Linked DNA regions of Arabidopsis thaliana. The protein of the gene in region 2 binds, or shares a complex with, the protein of the main gene of each other region. Each region holds a gene or a part of one and is shown on either strand. Other genes may lie near its edges.

What was found. Proteins that work in one complex are often made in the same cells at the same time.
Region 1: AT5G10960 (region 2) and AT3G58560 share a complex: the UniProt entries of both Arabidopsis thaliana proteins name them as parts of the CCR4-NOT complex.

Annotation. Positions count from the first base shown.
Region 1 is NC_003074.8:21,648,833-21,658,041, reverse strand, and holds AT3G58560 (DNAse I-like superfamily protein), read left to right. Parts: upstream 1-3,841; 5' UTR 3,842-4,145; coding exon 4,146-4,303; intron 4,304-4,579; coding exon 4,580-5,318; intron 5,319-5,421; coding exon 5,422-5,508; intron 5,509-5,609; coding exon 5,610-5,693; intron 5,694-5,764; coding exon 5,765-5,851; intron 5,852-5,945; coding exon 5,946-6,032; intron 6,033-6,175; coding exon 6,176-6,229; intron 6,230-6,316; coding exon 6,317-6,408; intron 6,409-6,522; coding exon 6,523-6,637; intron 6,638-6,752; coding exon 6,753-6,900; intron 6,901-7,004; coding exon 7,005-7,162; 3' UTR 7,163-7,477; downstream 7,478-9,209. Other genes in the region: AT3G58570 (P-loop containing nucleoside triphosphate hydrolases superfamily protein), read right to left, coding at 49-132, 227-943; AT3G58550 (Bifunctional inhibitor/lipid-transfer protein/seed storage 2S albumin superfamily protein), read left to right, coding at 7,809-8,163, 8,260-8,346, 8,445-8,536; AT3G58540 (uncharacterized protein), read right to left, coding at 8,816-9,019. UniProt on the Arabidopsis thaliana protein: Acts as a catalytic component of the CCR4-NOT core complex, which in the nucleus seems to be a general transcription factor, and in the cytoplasm the major mRNA deadenylase involved in mRNA turnover.
Region 2 is NC_003076.8:3,460,344-3,469,079, forward strand, and holds AT5G10960 (Polynucleotidyl transferase, ribonuclease H-like superfamily protein), read left to right. Parts: upstream 1-3,754; 5' UTR 3,755-4,020; intron 4,021-4,134; 5' UTR 4,135-4,237; coding exon 4,238-5,071; 3' UTR 5,072-5,971; downstream 5,972-8,736. Other genes in the region: AT5G10950 (Tudor/PWWP/MBT superfamily protein), read right to left, coding at 95-184, 440-492, 586-681, 914-965, 1,053-1,126, 1,212-1,289. UniProt on the Arabidopsis thaliana protein: Ubiquitous transcription factor required for a diverse set of processes. It is a component of the CCR4 complex involved in the control of gene expression.

The sequences.
Region 1 (9,209 bases), on a different chromosome or scaffold from region 2:
GTCTATAAGGCGTGGAAAATGAAGCATTTATAAAACAGTAACAGAAACCTGTTGGTTGACTGGTGTTCCTCCGTAAGCAACCACAACTTTCACTCCAGTTTGATAGGAGAACTTTCTGGCTTCATCATGTATCTGCAGAAAAATCATAAAAGAGATGTCTTTTCATGAAATCTTCATGTGATCAACAAATGCATATAAACTATGATATTATACCAGTTATTCAGACCTGGCAAGCCAATTCCCTTGTTGGTGAGAGAATGACAGCAAGAGGATAGACTCCCCGAACTCCACGTGGTCTCTCTATATGCTGATCCTTCATAATCCCACTAATAATCGGAAAACAAAAGGCAGCTGTCTTCCCAGAGCCTGTCTGAGCACAAGCCATCAAATCCCTTCCTGCAGCCAATATGGGAATTGCATTACGCTGCACAGGGGTCGGCTTCACGTATTTGCACCTCTGGATATTTAGATTGAGAGCTTCTCCGAGGTCTATCTCTGCAAATGTATTAACAGGAGGTGGCACATTATCCCCACTTGTCTCGATGGGAATATCTTCATAGGCCTCAAAGTTAATGACAGTGTTTTCCTGCTCGTTAACAGCCGGGTCTGCATTTCCATCATTACCAAACGGGTTAGTTTCAGTATCCCGACGGTCCCAACCTCCACTTCTGGCATTCCAACCGCCCACAGGACCTCCTCTACCACCATAGCCCGAACCTCGACCACCATAACCTTGGCCTCGACCACCATAACCACTATTTGCACCACCATATCCCCCACGATCATTATTACCAGGTGAAGGAGCAACAAACTCCGAAGATGGTGTACGGCTCCTAAGATGTGGAGGAACATAGTTGGTTCGAGACGGACGAGAATAACCCCAACCACCACCAGATGGTGCCCTCTCTGATTCAGAAACATCAGCCCATGAATTTGAACTCATAGTTGCTTAGCTTTACCAGAATCCTTCAAAGTATTGGTCTTCAATTTTGAGTTTGATCAAAGCCCCTGGATATCGTAATAAATATCAGTTCGAACAAGTTCGTTTTCCATAAATAAGTTGCAGCTATGCATGTAAGAAATGAGAGAAAGAGTCAACAAATCCAAATACTAAAAATGAAGAACAAATGCAAATCGATTCGAGAGAAGTAGTTATCTGTAGAAGAATCTTCAAAAAACCTCAGCTAATCGAATAATCTAAGAAATAGAAACGACTCGTAGTAACAAAACAAAATCACGATGAAGTAACACAAAGCTGAGAAGAATCGTTCCCTAAAACGAACAAATGCACAAATCATTAAACCCTAGAAGCAAAATGAAATCGAACAGGACATCGCTGCATAGATTTAACGACACCATGCACAGAGAGATATGAAGCCAGACCTTAAGAAACTCGACTAGAAGAAAAATCTTAGATCAACGATCAATGGTGTTCGAAAAAGCTTGAGGATATAAACCCTAATTTTCCCTTGTTCTCGCGATCGCACACGAAGCAAATGAAACAAAGGTTTCTGGGAAATGAGCAAAAGAGAAAAGATGAAGAGATATTTGTATTTCGATGAACTTTATTAATTTCCAAAAGCCTTTCTCGTTTTTTTATTTTATTAATTTTCAGATTGTTTGCCGTTTTCCAACAACGAAAAGCGTGCCGGCGTTGCTATAACGAAGTGAACTGTGTGTCGTCATAAATTAACATAGCGCGTGATAAACACGAAGAGCAAGGATTGGATAGAGACGAATATTTATTGTGGTCTGGACAAAAGTAATTACTGACAAATTTAGATATTAATTGCCAGCAAAAGTATTTACATACCAACTTATTTTAAACAAATGTCATAAATATGAGTCTGTACTTTCATTTCCATTGAAAATCATAATTTTCTAAATATCTATATTATTATATTATCTGTCTCTACCTAATTTGAATATTACAATGAAAATTTGTAAAAAATAAAATATTTTTGACATCATACATATATTTCAAAAAAATATTGTCAGCTAACTCAACAATTGGCCACAAATGCAAGTAAACTAAAAAACATACAACTACTTAACATATATGGATTGTATGATTATACAAGTCGTCAACATCATAAACATATAATCTCGGGTTAAATGGTCGACCAACTCCAGCGTTGATCAGCATTGACCAACAAAATATTCAAAACTAATTATTAGTATTAAAAAAATTAATGTTATTTGATATTGTAAAATACAAAAAAATATATTTATATCCAATATAAATATATTTTGTATATATATATAATGCATTAATTCATATAATATTTACTTTATTTTTTCAATTTCAAAACTAAACTAAGAGAATAAATATTTTTTTAAGATATGAACTATTCATAATAATAATAATAATAGTTAGTTTCTTAAGAAGTTAAATTTTTAATTGCTAAATATTTTTAATCAATAGTTAGTTTTTTCTTATATTATTCGTAAAAAACATTTACTTTGAATTTAAAAATTACCGTGCAAAATTTAGACTAAAAAGTTATATACTCAATTGTTTTTCATATTACTTTCTTATGAAACTTATATAGTCATGTGTATTTGGTTCTGTAATGATTTATTTTCTAATGAATAAAGAAGTTTATATATTTTAATTGATAATACAAAAAAAAGATTCTTTCACTCATATGTTTCTAATAAGATTTTTCTGGTTTTAATTTCAGTTTTTTTTTTGTTTTAAAAATTTTAATCATTTTTTTCATTTTTAGTTTAGTTTTGAAATTAAAAAAAGCTAAATATTTTAAGAATCAATGTATTAAATATATATGCAAAATATTTTTATAGTAGATGTAAAAATTGTTTTTTGATTATAGAATAACTAGTAAAACTAGATTTTTAATATTAAAAATAAAGTAAAAATTTATTTTTGAATATTTTTGTTGGTTAACACCGGTTGACGTTAGAGTTAATTGGTTATTTAACATGAAATTTTATATTTATAATGTTAACTATATAATATTATATACTTGGTTATGCAATCTATATACATCATTTAATTAAGTGTTATTTAGTTTAGTTGACATATATAGTTTGTACTGTATTATATTTTCCGTAAGTTTCAATCTTTTTTATTATAAATAGGTGAATATATGTGTATATAGAAAAAAGAGTATTAAAGACTTTTTGTTTCCCTTTGGAAAATAAAATAAAATAAAAATACGAGTCCATATTTGGTCTTGAACGAGACTTGCGTTCATTCCTAGGGGGATGAACCTCTTTGTTCACCTCCTTTTGCATTAACTAATAAAAATATGTCATGTCAAATCCTATTTAAATTACATAATAAATTGAAGCTATAATTATAATCCAAACCGATATATAATTTCGTTTAATTACAAAATCTAAACCCTAATTCTTCTTTGTAAATCCAAACCGCCATTTAAACTCATTTAGTCGTAAAAAAACTAAACCCTAATCGTATTTTCTAAACCCAAACCGACATTTAACCTTGTTTAATTGTTAAATCTAAACCTGTTAATAAATCTAAACCAATATTTAACCCGTTTAATCATAAAATCTAAACCTTAATCGTACTTTCTAAACCAAAACCGATATTTAATCTCGTTTAATCATAAAATCTAAACCCTAATCGTATTTTCTAAACCCAAATCAATATTTAACCTTGTTTAATTGTAAAATCTAAACCATGATTTTTTCAAATAAACTCAAATCGATATATAATTTTGTTTTTGAGGCAAATTAGATTTTATAATTAAATTAAACTTTTATTATTATTATTAGGTTTTAAATTTTAATGGGCTAAAACAGTGAATATAGAACCCAAGTATTTTTCTTTGGTCTTTGTCCATCTTTGGAAATTAATTTAGTCGTAGCGAACAAATCTATCCCACTCATTGGATTTCAATTTCATAAATTTTAGGTTGTAAAATTCGGGTTTGGAGAAAATTGGGGGTAAATCTAGGGTTCTGGGAAAATTAGGGTTCTGGGAAAATTAGGGTTCATCCATGCTGTCGAGTTTTAGGGTCAAGTAAATGACGGATCCATTAGGATCCGTTTTATATCTTATGCTCTCTCGTCTCAATATATATATTTAAAAATCTCAGCCTTTGGGCTTCGTTAGTGTTGGTTTGCTTTCAGAATTTAACTTAGTTACGGTAAAAGCAATGCTTAGCGTTATACGAGTGCATCTACCGTCGGAGATTCCTATTGTTGGCTGCGAACTTACACCTTACGTACTTCTCCGGCGGCCTGATAAGACCCCCTCCACCGATGATGTGCCTGAGTCAGCCCCGCTTGAAGGTCACTTCTTAAAGTACAGATGGTAAGTCATGCCTGTGGCTTCCTTTTACTCTTAAATCTGCTCCCTTTTACTAGCTTTTGCTCGAGTTTGTTATGGACGACTTTTTTTTACCGAAAGTTTGAGACTTTTCTGTGAATTCCCGGGTATGATTTGTTTAAGTGTTTCTTAGTCAGTTCAAGTCTTTGTTCGTTTGCAAATTTGAGTGTGAAAAATGATTTCTTTAATTGTAAAGTAGGGTTTATAAGTCTCCAGTCTTGTCTTTTGGTTCTGTATTAAAAGATGCATCATCTGTTGCAGGTTTCGAGTACAGAGTGATAAGAAAGTTGCGATTTGTAGTGTGCATCCATCCGAGACGGCAACATTGCAGTGTCTGGGATGTCTAAAGTCTAAAGTTCCTGTTGCCAAAAGCTACCATTGCTCTACTAAGTGCTTTTCGGATGCGTGGCAACATCACCGTGTGTTGCATGAGCGTGCTGCCAGTGCTGCTACAGAAGGAAATGATGAAGAAGAGTTGCCCCGTTTGAATAGCTCAGGGTCTGGATCTGGTGTTCTCAGCACCAGTGTTAGTTTAACGAATGGGTCATCATCAGTTTATCCTTCAGCCATAACTCAAAAGACCGGCGCCGGAGGAGAAACACTTGTTGAGGTTGGACGCTCTAAGACATACACACCAATGGCTGATGATATTTGCCATGTTTTGAAGTTTGAATGTGTAGTAGTCAATGCAGAGACAAAACAGAATGTGGGCCTTTCTTGTACCATATTGACTTCCCGTGTTATCCCAGCTCCATCACCTTCTCCGCGTAGGCTGATCTCTATTAGTGGAACTGATGTTACTGGGCACCTGGATTCTAATGGGCGGCCTTTGTCTATGGGAACATTCACTGTGCTGTCCTACAATATATTGTCTGATACATATGCTAGCAGCGACATATACAGTTACTGCCCCACATGGGCTCTCGCTTGGACATACCGTAGACAGAATTTGTTACGGGAAATTGTCAAGTACCGTGCAGATATAGTTTGTCTACAAGAGGTATGTTAAATATTTATGGCACAAGTTGTACTGACTTGGAAACGTTTCAATTGCTAGTTAATGGATAAATACCTCTCCAATATTTTCGTTTTTCATCTTGCAGGTACAGAATGATCATTTTGAGGAGTTTTTTCTTCCTGAGCTGGATAAACACGGATACCAAGGTCTTTTTAAGAGGAAAACAAATGAGGTTTGCTTCAACGCATCCCCTTGATCTTCCATTACCTTTTCGTGGTCACTTATCTGCAAGATGTACCAACCAGAAAATATTGATTCACTGGATAATTTTAGGTTTTCATCGGTAATACAAACACAATTGATGGGTGCGCTACTTTCTTCAGAAGAGACAGGTTCTCACATGTAAAAAAATATGAGGTATGTCTTAGTTTTCTCCTGTTACCTATCTAATTAGGCCCATTTGCTAAATCATTGGGCTGCTCATCCAGGTTGAGTTCAACAAGGCTGCACAGTCTTTGACTGAGGCTATTATCCCTGTTTCCCAGAAGAAAAATGCTTTGAATCGGTTGGTCAAGGTACTCTGAGATGCTCTATAGTATGATTTCTGTTTTCCGCACATTCTTGGTGATATTTTTTCATGTAAAACTGATTTAGAGTCTTTCTTTTTAGGATAATGTTGCTTTAATAGTTGTACTGGAAGCAAAATTCGGTAGCCAGGCTGCTGACAATCCTGGGAAGCGCCAGCTACTTTGTGTGGTAAGTTGTCCATCTTTTCAATATTGTTCTTTATTGTCAGAGATGATGCTAGAGTTGAAGTTATGTGTTTCCACTTCCTCTTCTCCTTTAAAGGTCTCGAGGTGATCATGTTTTCTCTCTTTTCATGTATTTGATGGGTGCAGGCTAACACGCATGTAAACGTTCCTCATGAATTGAAAGATGTAAAGCTGTGGCAGGTTGGTCTTTATTTCTCATTGTAAAAGAACTCTCAGATTTCGGATTCTTACATCACTATTGATCCATAATGATTCTTGCCCAAATAGGTTCACACATTATTGAAGGGACTGGAGAAAATAGCTGCCAGTGCAGATATTCCAATGCTTGTGTGTGGAGATTTCAACACAGTACCTGCGAGGTCTGGCTGGTTTTCCTATTTGTTATGCCCAAGTAGCAATTGTCAAACTCTATATTAAATTATGATTGTGGTTTCTACCTGAATTAACTTGGAGTTCCTTCTTAATATTTTCAGTGCTCCTCATACACTTCTTGCTGTGGGAAAGGTCGATCCATTGCACCCAGATTTGATGGTTGATCCTCTTGGAATTTTACGTCCTCACAGCAAGCTTACTCATCAGCTGCCACTGGTAATTATCTTTCCCAAAAATGGAAAACAGATGCACAGAATCGTGAAAGGCAGACTTCAATTTTAATTAGAATGGCAACATATGCGTAGACATCATACCTTTGTGACCATTGCAGGTTAGTGCCTACTCACAATTTGCAAAAATGGGAGGCAACGTTATTACTGAGCAGCAACGTAGAAGACTGGATCCTGCATCAAGTGAACCGTTGTTTACCAACTGTACCAGGGACTTTATAGGCACACTTGATTACATATTTTACACAGGTTAACTTAAGTGCTTACTTTCAGGGGTTTTACGCGCCAGTGTTTGCTTTCATCTCAGATTTCTTTTTCATCTGGTAAGCAATTTGCTTTTTGTTTTGTTTCAGCGGACACGCTAACAGTGGAATCGTTGTTGGAACTGTTGGATGAAGAGTCCTTGAGGAAGGACACAGCTCTTCCATCTCCAGAATGGTCTTCTGATCACATTGCACTTTTGGCTGAATTTCGCTGCATGCCCAGGGCCAGACGAAACAATATTTTATAGAGATACTGCAGCTGTAATAACCCGATACCAAAGACTGGTTCCAATGGATATGGTTAAGCTACATGAAGTAGATAGCATGGCCATGTCCCTGGGGTTTCTCCCGCTGGGTTTTTCGCTTGCGTTCTACTCTGTATCACAGTTTTATTTACTGCTTGGTTCGCTTGGCTTTTCTTTCTATAGTTATTTCCTCTTTGCCAGAAAGTTTTGTCTTCACTGGCTTGTGATTGTAACAATGTAAACAATTAGATTCTTCAAGAAAATAGTGACTTCACCTTTTCCATATTAAAATCTGTGTCTTCTATGGTTGCAATCCTCCTTACACTCTTAACCCTACAGCTTAACCATCAATTTTCTAGTCTCTTCACTTGTAGATATCTTGCAGATACTGTGAAAACGAACTGTGAACAACTTGATATATTTTATATGTACCCCTCCAATAACTGAAGATGATCCAAATTCCAAAACTCAAATTTCAATTCAGAAATTAGACATGTTAACCAGTACTCATTATATAATCCTTTTAAATCAAGTTTCTTGCAGACTTAGAACTCTCGAGTATCCCTATAACTAGAGAGGGAAACATATGTGAACAAGAAACAAGTCTTATAAAAAGCCACATTAAGTTCTTACTCTGCTGCATTAACTGATGGCTAGATTCATGGCTTACAATCAAAATCCACAAATGTTGGCTCTATGCATAACAGTAGCAGTAATGTTCCTTGGTGTGAGATCAGAATTGAGTCAGGATATAAAGGGATGTCAGGATGCGATGTCTGATCTCTACTCTTGTCTTCCTTTTGTCACTAACAAAGCTAAAGCACCAGACTCAACATGTTGCAGCACACTCAAGGTAAAAATAGACAAAGGGCAGACCAGGAAATGTCTATGTACTCTAGTCAAAGACAGGGATGATCCTGGTTTGGGGTTCAAAGTTGATGCCAACCGTGCAATGAGCCTCCCTTCCGCTTGTCATGTCCCTGCAAACATCTCTCAATGCCCAGGTGAGAGATTTCATATCTTCTACAATATTGGCTTGAAAAAGTATTGCATGGTCACAAACTAGATTGTTCTCATTGTTTCATTTTGTTTGGAACAAGATCTTCTACATCTGCTTCCAGATTCACCAGCCTCTCAAATATTTAAGCAATTCACTGAATCTTCTTCTCAGACTGTTGGACATAAAGGTACTAATAACAATTCTTACAGTTTTTGATTCTATTCGTGCAAACATTAATTTTCCGTTTTTCTCGGAACTAAAAGAAAACGAATAAAAATATTGCAGCGGTCTCCACAAGCTCAAGCATCAAAGGAAGAGACAACAAGCAATTTGGTTTAATGATGGCTGGTGCTCTCTCAATATGGTATATAATGTAAAATCCTCTGTGATCTAAAGTTGATGAACACAATAACCAAAATCATTATACGAGTCATATCTACTAGCTGAAGCAGATGTATCATGGCTTATTAATAAGAACTTATTGAGAAACTCTTAAGCATCATAGAATGCGATTAGAAGAACTCTTTGAAGCATATCATATACAAAAACAGCTATTTAGTTTCATGGAAACGCATTGAAAGAAAGAAAAAGAAAGCTTAAAATAACACTTGACAAACATGGACATGATCACCAATTAAAAATCTGCTACAGATTACTCACTCACTCTCCTCAATGAATCTGATGACTCCTTTAGCCACTAAGTCATCAATCTGGGCCTGAAAAAGCTTCTTTTGACGAACATTTTCCTTTTCTAGTTGATGTAATACGCCGAATGCGACTGGTAAACCTATCACCGATACTCGAGTCCAAACATCTATTGCACCAAACCATTTCGCAAACCTTGCTACTGCACCCGCCATGACTGGATCTGGGGATCATAAGATTTTAAAAAATCAAATTACCAACAAGAAGAAACTCTAAACCTCTGATCCGCAGATCTAGTTTCTACTAAACATAATCCTCATGAAGATCAAACAAAATTCACAATTCGAGACCGAATCTGTAATCTATTGACGCAGATCTTGAAACAAGCAAAGCTAAATTCAACTT
Region 2 (8,736 bases):
ATCACAATAATACTGTGTTGAACTCGCACGTGAGCGTGGAAGTGTGCATATATACGTTTGTTTATTTAAGAATGCATAGTATAACATAACCAACCTCTTTGATGAAGAATCTATCTTCTGTTTCTTTTTGGGCATAGCTTCATCCGTCCTTCCTTTTAAAGATGCCTTCCCTTTCCCTTTAGGCCTGTAGAGAGTTTAGACAACAAAGATCATTCAGAATTACTTACTCCTAAATCTTTAGATTCAGGGACACAATCCACAGCCATGAATATATGTGTATCTGACACACTCATGTTCGTAAATCATGACTGTTAGTGATATTAAAACAATCGGTACTATACGATACAACACACGATCTAAATCATAACCCTAGTTAAGTATAAAGAGAAACTCAAGGTTGCGATGTCTAAAACAGGTAGGAAGATAAGGGCAAACTTACGGTTCTGGAGTGCCTTCAGAACTCTCACCAGCAGATTCCTCCTGTAGGGAGATCTGGAAAAAAAAGAATGCTGAACCATTAAAAGCTAGTGATACACAGGATAAAATCGACAATAAATGATTAAACAAACACTGTCTAATATCTACCTCATCAGATTCAGATTCAGCATCATCTTCTTCAATCAACTCCCATCTCTCCTTCTTCAGATCCAAGGTCTCTTTATCACCATCTTCATAGAAAACCTAATAACAATGAAGAGTAACTCATTAAATGACACATTATCTAAGCAACTTAAATTCCTCTGATAAAGTAAATCATCCACCAAACTCATTCAATTCAGATTAGATATCAATAGATCTTAAAATCCAAGAGATAAACCCTAATTCATTCATTTAATGAATGTGCAATTCAAAATCCAATCTAGATTCAAGCAGACCCATAGAAACAAGTAACAAGATACATGATATGAATTACCCGATGTTTCTTCTTGGAAGAGACATAGGAATCCACCACACCCTTATAGAATCTGCAAAACCAAGAGATCTGTAAGATTGACCACAAGTAACTGATAGTAAAAAAGCCCTAATTTTTTCAATAAGATTGGAACACTCACTTGCTGTCCATCGGCCACCAAACTCGTATCCTTGAACCCACCAAGGCTTCACCATATTTACGAGCATCAGAAACCTAGTAAAGTTCAATACTTTAGAGCAAATTCGCATAGAAAAACTAGTAATTCAAACCAAAGAAGAAGAAGCGATAGTTGCAAAACCTTATCCTTCCCAGAAGAACGAGTTGAAGAAGAAACAAGTCTGTTCTTGGCTGATGAACGCTTCCTAGAACCAACCATCTTCGAAAGCAATCAAAGGAAGAAGAAGAACAAGAAGGAATCTGTGTTTTGTGTTTGTGTTTGGTGTAAGATATTTTTCTTACAGCGCAGAGAGAGATTTATAGGAAGAGAGCGAAGAAGAAAGAAGCGGTGAAATTGGGGGTTTTATTTAGGTTACCAAGGGGTGTCATTTGGGGGATTTGAGAGATTTCTTTCCCCTGAACTAACCAACGACACGTGACTTTACTAGTTAAGAATTACCTCTCACGTGTTTGACGACGACCACATCTTTTCTTTGCTTTACTTCTATTGGTCTCTTCCACTCTTCTTTTTTTCATCTTTTTCTTGTTAAAGGTCTTCTTTTTTTTTATCTTTAGCCAGTTGTTATTTACCTATTAATGTTTTCTGCCAGTAATTGGACCTTCAATATCCAGTGTTATCAAGTTAGAGGAAAAGATATTTATCCTAGTATAGTGCTTTACGATGACTAGATGATGATCCTCAAATTAATATTAGATCACCGGAGTTGGTCCAAAATAAAATGATAGAAAATATGGTCATATTATTATGAACGATATATCTTCAGATTTACGGTCTTGGTTTTTAATGGTTTTCTAATAAGATTATTTTCTCTGAAACGTGATCAAGAACTAAATACTCGTTTTTACGAGTGAACTTAACGTTTAGTAACTTAACAGCTATGAGCCTTCTTATCTTTAAGTGTATCTTATAATAGATCATATCGAAATGTTACCTAGAGTTCATGTAGAATATGACATTTGTTTTATCAAGCTGTTCGAACATTTGTAGGAACGATCTAAACATCTCTAAACAATCCAAAACCCATAAAATTAAACAAATATTTGGTACTAGATGATTTACCTAATCTAAATTATATGTGCACGTGATATTAAAGAATTTATCTACGTTAAATACATGCAACTGTTTAAATAATTCTTTCTAATTTAAGTAACAAAAATTTCAATTTTAGTTTCTATTTTCGTTTTTTTCGATTTTGATTTTAAATATAGAATTCTATTTAGATTTTAGATGAGCAAGCAATTACACGGTGAGACATATTTTTGGAGGGTAACAATTAAGTAAATTTTGTTATATATATAAGAACAATTATGCAGAAACTTTCATGTTTGGTATGTGTTGGATTCCAGAAGAAATTTCCTAAAAATGGTCGGATGATGAAACCACCATCTAATATTTCGTGACTTGACATTACTTGTTTATTTTTTTTAATTTATAGAAAAAGGTACACAATTATTTGATATAAAACAAGCTAATACATTAGTTTATATAAAAACGAATTAATTATTACAAAACAATGGATTATGCTTGAGGGTAAGTGGGAAGCACGATGATGCCTTGACTCCGTAATAATAATTAGAATTAAAATTCCTTTATCCCCTTTCTTCCTAATAGTTGTCTTTTTTTGTAAAAAAAAAAAGAACTTTGGTCCTCGTTTGAGTTGGAGAATCTTTTCATGTAATAATTTTAAGAAGAAAAACTGATTACGCTGGTGAAACTTGAAAGTTTTTTTCTAAAATAAATAAATCTAAAATGATTCTATTCATGAACGAAGATGATTGTAACAAGTGATGCATGTATCTCTATCAAACGTCTTCCCATTCGTTGTATGATTGCATTAATATTGGCCACTTGTAACTTGTAAGGTAGAAATCCCAAAGTCAATTCTATTATAATTAAAATTACTTTGTTTTGTTTAACAATTATGCTAACAAATCCTTCTTAATAACAAGATAACATAAATCTAAAATCCTTTTTTTGAGTTGAAAAAAAACAAGATACCATATTTTCAATTAATTGGCAGAACTACATAGGAAACAAATCCGAAATTGAAGAGTTTACATAGAAGAAAAAAAAACAGAAATAAAAGAGTTTACCTGGAAAATAATCAAATATTATGTTCTTTCAAATTTTCGACAAAAAAAAAAATTGATATTCTTTCAATTTTGTGAGATAATCAGTACAGAAATTATTAAAATGTGATATAAAATTGCGAGACAATCCGTAGGAATATTATTACCAAATGATATAAAACTGAGTTAAAATTGTAAGAAAAAGAAGTTTTAAGGTTCTTCAAATCATCTAGCTGACTAGCTCCATAGCAAAAATAAATAATTTTGATTGTTTATTAGCACAATCTGTTTCTTAACCATATAAATTTAGACTTGTACAAAAATCAAAATGCAGTTTAGTTTATACAACTTTTCCTATAACTATAAAGTTCGATCGTCATAATAAGGTATAACAATTTAACTCTAGTACCAAATGCTATAAAATACATAAAATTTAAGAATAATGGAGGTAGGTCTACAAAGCAAAAGAAAAAAAAAAGATCATGGAAGTTACAAACGAACGGAATTTCCGTGATACACATAAATAAAAATTGGTCATCATATCACACAATTCGCATCATTAAAATAATTAGAAAACGGACAATACGGATAAAATAATTGGTAACTGGCCAAAACGTAATGATTGATGTAAGAAGACGCACGGCAAAACGTCGTCGTATAAGCTTTTCATCGTCAAACAAAACGGCTTCGTTTCAAGGCTCACACTTGTCTTTATTTATCACTTCATCTTCTCCAAAGCCATACCACTTGAAACCTCTCTCTCTGGTTGACCCGATAATTTCTCTCTCGCAGACGCACAGATCTCTCTTCGAATCTGCTAGATCTGTTCCTTTTCTTACATCTGTATTGCGAAACCTCTGGTAATTTCATACTTTCATGTCTCTCCGTTTCATTTCGATTTTCGTTTCACAGCTAGGGTTTGCTTTTTGTTACATCGATTTCTGATTTTCCTGGTGTTGTTGCCTCTTCCTCAGATCGGAAGGTTTCGTTTACAGATCTACCGATACGAGTTTCGCAGTATTTCCGAGTTCCGACGTATGCTTTGTTTTCAGATCTGGGTTTGTTGTATATCTAGAAATGGCGGAGACTTTGAAAGAAGATTCGATTATGATTCGAGAGGTTTGGGATTACAATTTGGTTGAAGAATTCGCGTTGATCCGTGAGATTGTTGACAAATTCAGCTATATCGCTATGGATACTGAGTTTCCAGGTGTGGTTTTGAAGCCTGTTGCTACTTTCAAGTACAATAACGATCTTAACTACAGGACTCTCAAGGAAAATGTCGATTTGTTGAAATTGATTCAAGTTGGGTTAACTTTTTCTGATGAGAATGGGAATCTTCCGACTTGTGGGACGGATAAGTTCTGCATCTGGCAATTCAATTTCCGTGAGTTCAACATCGGTGAGGATATCTACGCGAGTGAGTCTATTGAGCTGTTGCGTCAGTGTGGGATTGATTTCAAGAAGAACATTGAGAAAGGTATTGATGTGGTTAGGTTTGGTGAGCTTATGATGTCGTCTGGGATTGTTTTGAACGATGCTATCTCGTGGGTTACGTTCCATGGTGGATATGATTTCGGGTATTTGGTTAAGTTGTTGACTTGTAAGGAATTGCCTCTCAAGCAAGCTGATTTCTTCAAGCTTCTGTATGTGTATTTCCCTACGGTTTACGATATCAAGCACTTGATGACGTTCTGCAACGGACTGTTTGGTGGATTGAACAGACTTGCGGAGCTTATGGGAGTGGAGAGAGTTGGGATTTGTCATCAAGCTGGGTCGGATAGCTTGCTCACCTTAGGGTCGTTTAGGAAGCTCAAGGAACGTTATTTCCCGGGATCAACTGAGAAATACACTGGAGTCTTGTATGGTCTAGGTGTGGAAGATGGTACTACTACTACTGTTGCTAATTAAGAAGAAAGGAATGAAAGATACTTTGAAAATTCCAGGGAAGTGCGATTAGATATATTTCTTTAGTCTTTGTGAGTGTGAGAAGACCAAAATAGAATCGTCGTTGTGTAAATTGGCAAATTGGTGTTAGTAAGTGACTTGTTGTGTCTTTGTTGCTTTGTTTTCAGGAAAACCCCTTGTGATCAAAATTTGAGGGGTTTTTGTTTTAGCTTGAGTTTCTGAATGTATATCAATTCAGCTACCCGTTTATTTAATAAATAATCTCCAATTTTAATTTTTCTTCTCTTTTCTTTTTGTGTGTGTTTTCTTCTTACTAGTGACCAATGTAACTTGACAGTGGCTTCTTGTAGTAGCGTTTGCATGTCTCAGCTTGCAGTTACTGTGTAATTCTTTGTAACCATACCAGTTTGAAGATGCAAACTGGTAAGTTTTATGCTTAAGAGAATGTTGAATCTTCCTGTGTTCTTCTTTCCCTCTTCGTTGATACAAGTTGATAAGGAGAACAATGAACTGCTTATGCTAGAGGTTATATGTGTTACATTGTTTAAAAAACAGAGCTATGGTAATCGATTGATGTATAGATTTGTTATTTAGGTGTTTATGATGTAAGTGGTATCATGTCATGGTTAATGTGGAGGAGAATCACATATGTATGCTGTTGCATTCGCCAATCACCTCAATAGCCAATTTATTATCATATTGTCAATGAGTAGCATTCTAATGCAATCAATGTTTTGTTGGGCAAGTATTCAGACGTCATCTGAGTCGCAAGTGGTACAGAAGATTACGAGATTTGACTGATTGAGACGTCGTAGCTCATTCAATTGCCGAAGAAAAAAAAAAAAGTATCAGCCTGTTGGAAGTATTATGTCAAAATGTGGATTTGTGTATGAACTCAGTTTCCATCAAGATAATTAAATCTAAGTTTCTCAAAACCTTAAATATTTCATTACACGAACTTGTTTGATGATCGAAAACATATGATCCAATAGCAACACGACACGAGAAATAAAGTAAAAAGAAGAAAACAACAGCAATACGGCAAAAGTCCGAGTCACTATTATGTAGGTGTGGCAGAGAATCAAATCTACTTCTTATTACAGAAGAAACAGTGTACTTGCTAGTCCTGTCTTTAACGGCTTCTCTGAGTCTCTTCACGTGTGTTTGTGTGTTGGGAATTGGGATTCTGATTTGGGCCTTTGTTGTGTGGGCTTTGATCAGAGGTGGGAGAACGTTTTTACCAAGGTTGAATTGGGATTCTGATTTGGGCATGTTTGTTGTTTTAGGGTTTAGTTATTATCAAATGACCACTATTGGCTATTGCTTTGCTTTAGGTAACCAAAAAAACGTTACATATTTAAATAAAAATGTGTAACACAGTGCGGACGAAATAGCATCAAAATTATTTATATACATATCAGATATGAATTGAGTTAATTAGTGTCTAATTATTATCTTGTGGCTGCCATATGTCTTTTTTGAACTTGTTCTCGTTGAGGAAAATTTGGTATGCCTAAACATAGTATGTTTATCAATTTGGTTGAGACCAGCAAAATATCAGTGCCAACCCTAATTATAACGATTACTCATCAACTTATGATATACATATCCTTGTGAATCCAAAAGAAGCTGTCAAGCACCCACTTTTATTTTATTAGTTTTTTTTTCTGTTGATGTATAGTACTTGATTGCGGAAAAAATGGTAAGTAACTAAGTATGATTAGGGCTATTTGTTATTTTATTCTTCAAAAATGAAGAGTAAGGTTCAGATGTAGTTTTGAAATATACTTTTTGCCTAATTTTGGATGAGACAGACAAATCTAATCAAAAAGATTCAGCTGATTTGTGATTACTGGTAACACAAATAGTGTTTATATTTGTAATCATCCATGTGGGGGTGGTTTCTCCTGCACCACTTGTCTCAGTTCCCCTTACGCAATCATGTTTCTTGTTTTTAAATGCTAATGTGATACCTATACAGTCTTAAGTTATTATAAAGTTCATATTAGTGTACATGTAAGAGACTTATAAAATAATTTGTAGTCAATCAAATTTTTAATTGATACTAACAATTGATCCACCGAATCAGCTTTCACAATTTCTTTAATTGTAGATCGTTTGTAACATTGGACCCACGAATTATATATAGGTCGCATTCGACAAAATACTCAACATACTTAAACTAGTTGTCCTAACAATTAGTTCTTTGGATTTTACTTGCCTATTTTTATATTTTCCGGCTTCCACCACATATTAATTTATGCTAAAGTTTTCGAGAAATCAAATACTGAAGATTCGTATCCCGAGCAAGCATAGATGAGACGCTTTGTCGTTTCACTTTGTTTTCCCACCCAAACCAGAACAAAATTTATTGGCCTTCGAATATTTCGGAAAAAACAAACAATATTCATTTAATGGACTTGTGAAAGAAGGGTGATATTAATCTTTAATCATGTCACTTAATTGATATGATAAATATTCAAGTGAATCATGTAAAGTGGAAATCACTGTGAAGTAGAATGTGTCCTAAGGGAGTTTCGTACCTTTCAACCATAAAATCCGGCAAACTATTAAGGATTCCAATGGATATAAAGATGAAGGAGAGTGTGAATGTGAAGCAAACTTCAAAAGGAAGAAGTGAAAAGAGGACAAAAGAGAGTTAAACAGTGGAAAGCTAAAAGGAAACAGAGATGACCACTTTCATCTCGAAGTTTCAAAAGTACACAAAAACATCAAACATACCTGAATAGTTTCACTTGGTCCACTCTCTCCTTATCTCTCTCTCTTGTCATTGAGCATCCTTTTCAATTTCATTGTCACTTGTTGTCATCTTCATCTACTCCGTGAATATTACAACAAGTTGTCGTTTCATCCAAACAAATAAAACCGGTCCCAGTTTCAGAAGATCTTTTGAACTGCCAAGCTTTCTTTTGTCTTGTTCCCCCCTCCAAATCCTTTTTTCCTCATACAAAAGAGTCTATAAAGTCTCCATTAGTTTAGAACTAGTGACTACTACTGTACATATTCTATGTAAGATTTGTAGGTTGGGCTAAGGTGGGTTTAGTAATTTCCTTACACATATCCGCGGCTGCATACAAAACTATACCAAATGAAGACGAGTTGGGGCCTATTAGAATCTGTCCACAGAAAAACAATGAATCCATCAATCAGAGTGGATTTAGCAAGCAAATATCAAGCATAGTTCAAAAGTTCATGAACTCACCAGGAGTCCAAGACAAAAAGTAAATATTCATTGGGATGGCTTTCTTGAATTAAGCCCAACTCTACATGTCATTGGCATCAACCTGGGTATAAGAAAAAGAAATGACATGTATACTTGTTTGTTGAAGAACTTTTAAGCACATAAAGGCAATAGACTGAGAGAACAGGAAAAAAAAAGTTAAAGAAGATTATGCATGATAGGGAATAGAGATTGGTGTATTGAAGGAGAAAGCAGCCCAAAAAAAGGTTGATGTGAAGTGAAAGTTGCTCCTACAAAGGGATAAACACAGGTATTAATTGGTGGAGTTCCAATCAGCTTCAAGTGTTTTGTTGTGTCTTTGTGTGTGTGTGTGTGTGGTGTGTCAGCAAACAAGACCTACCCATCTCTCTTTCTCTATCTCTCTCATCTTCTTACTACTTTTCTCCACTTATTACAAACTCCAAAA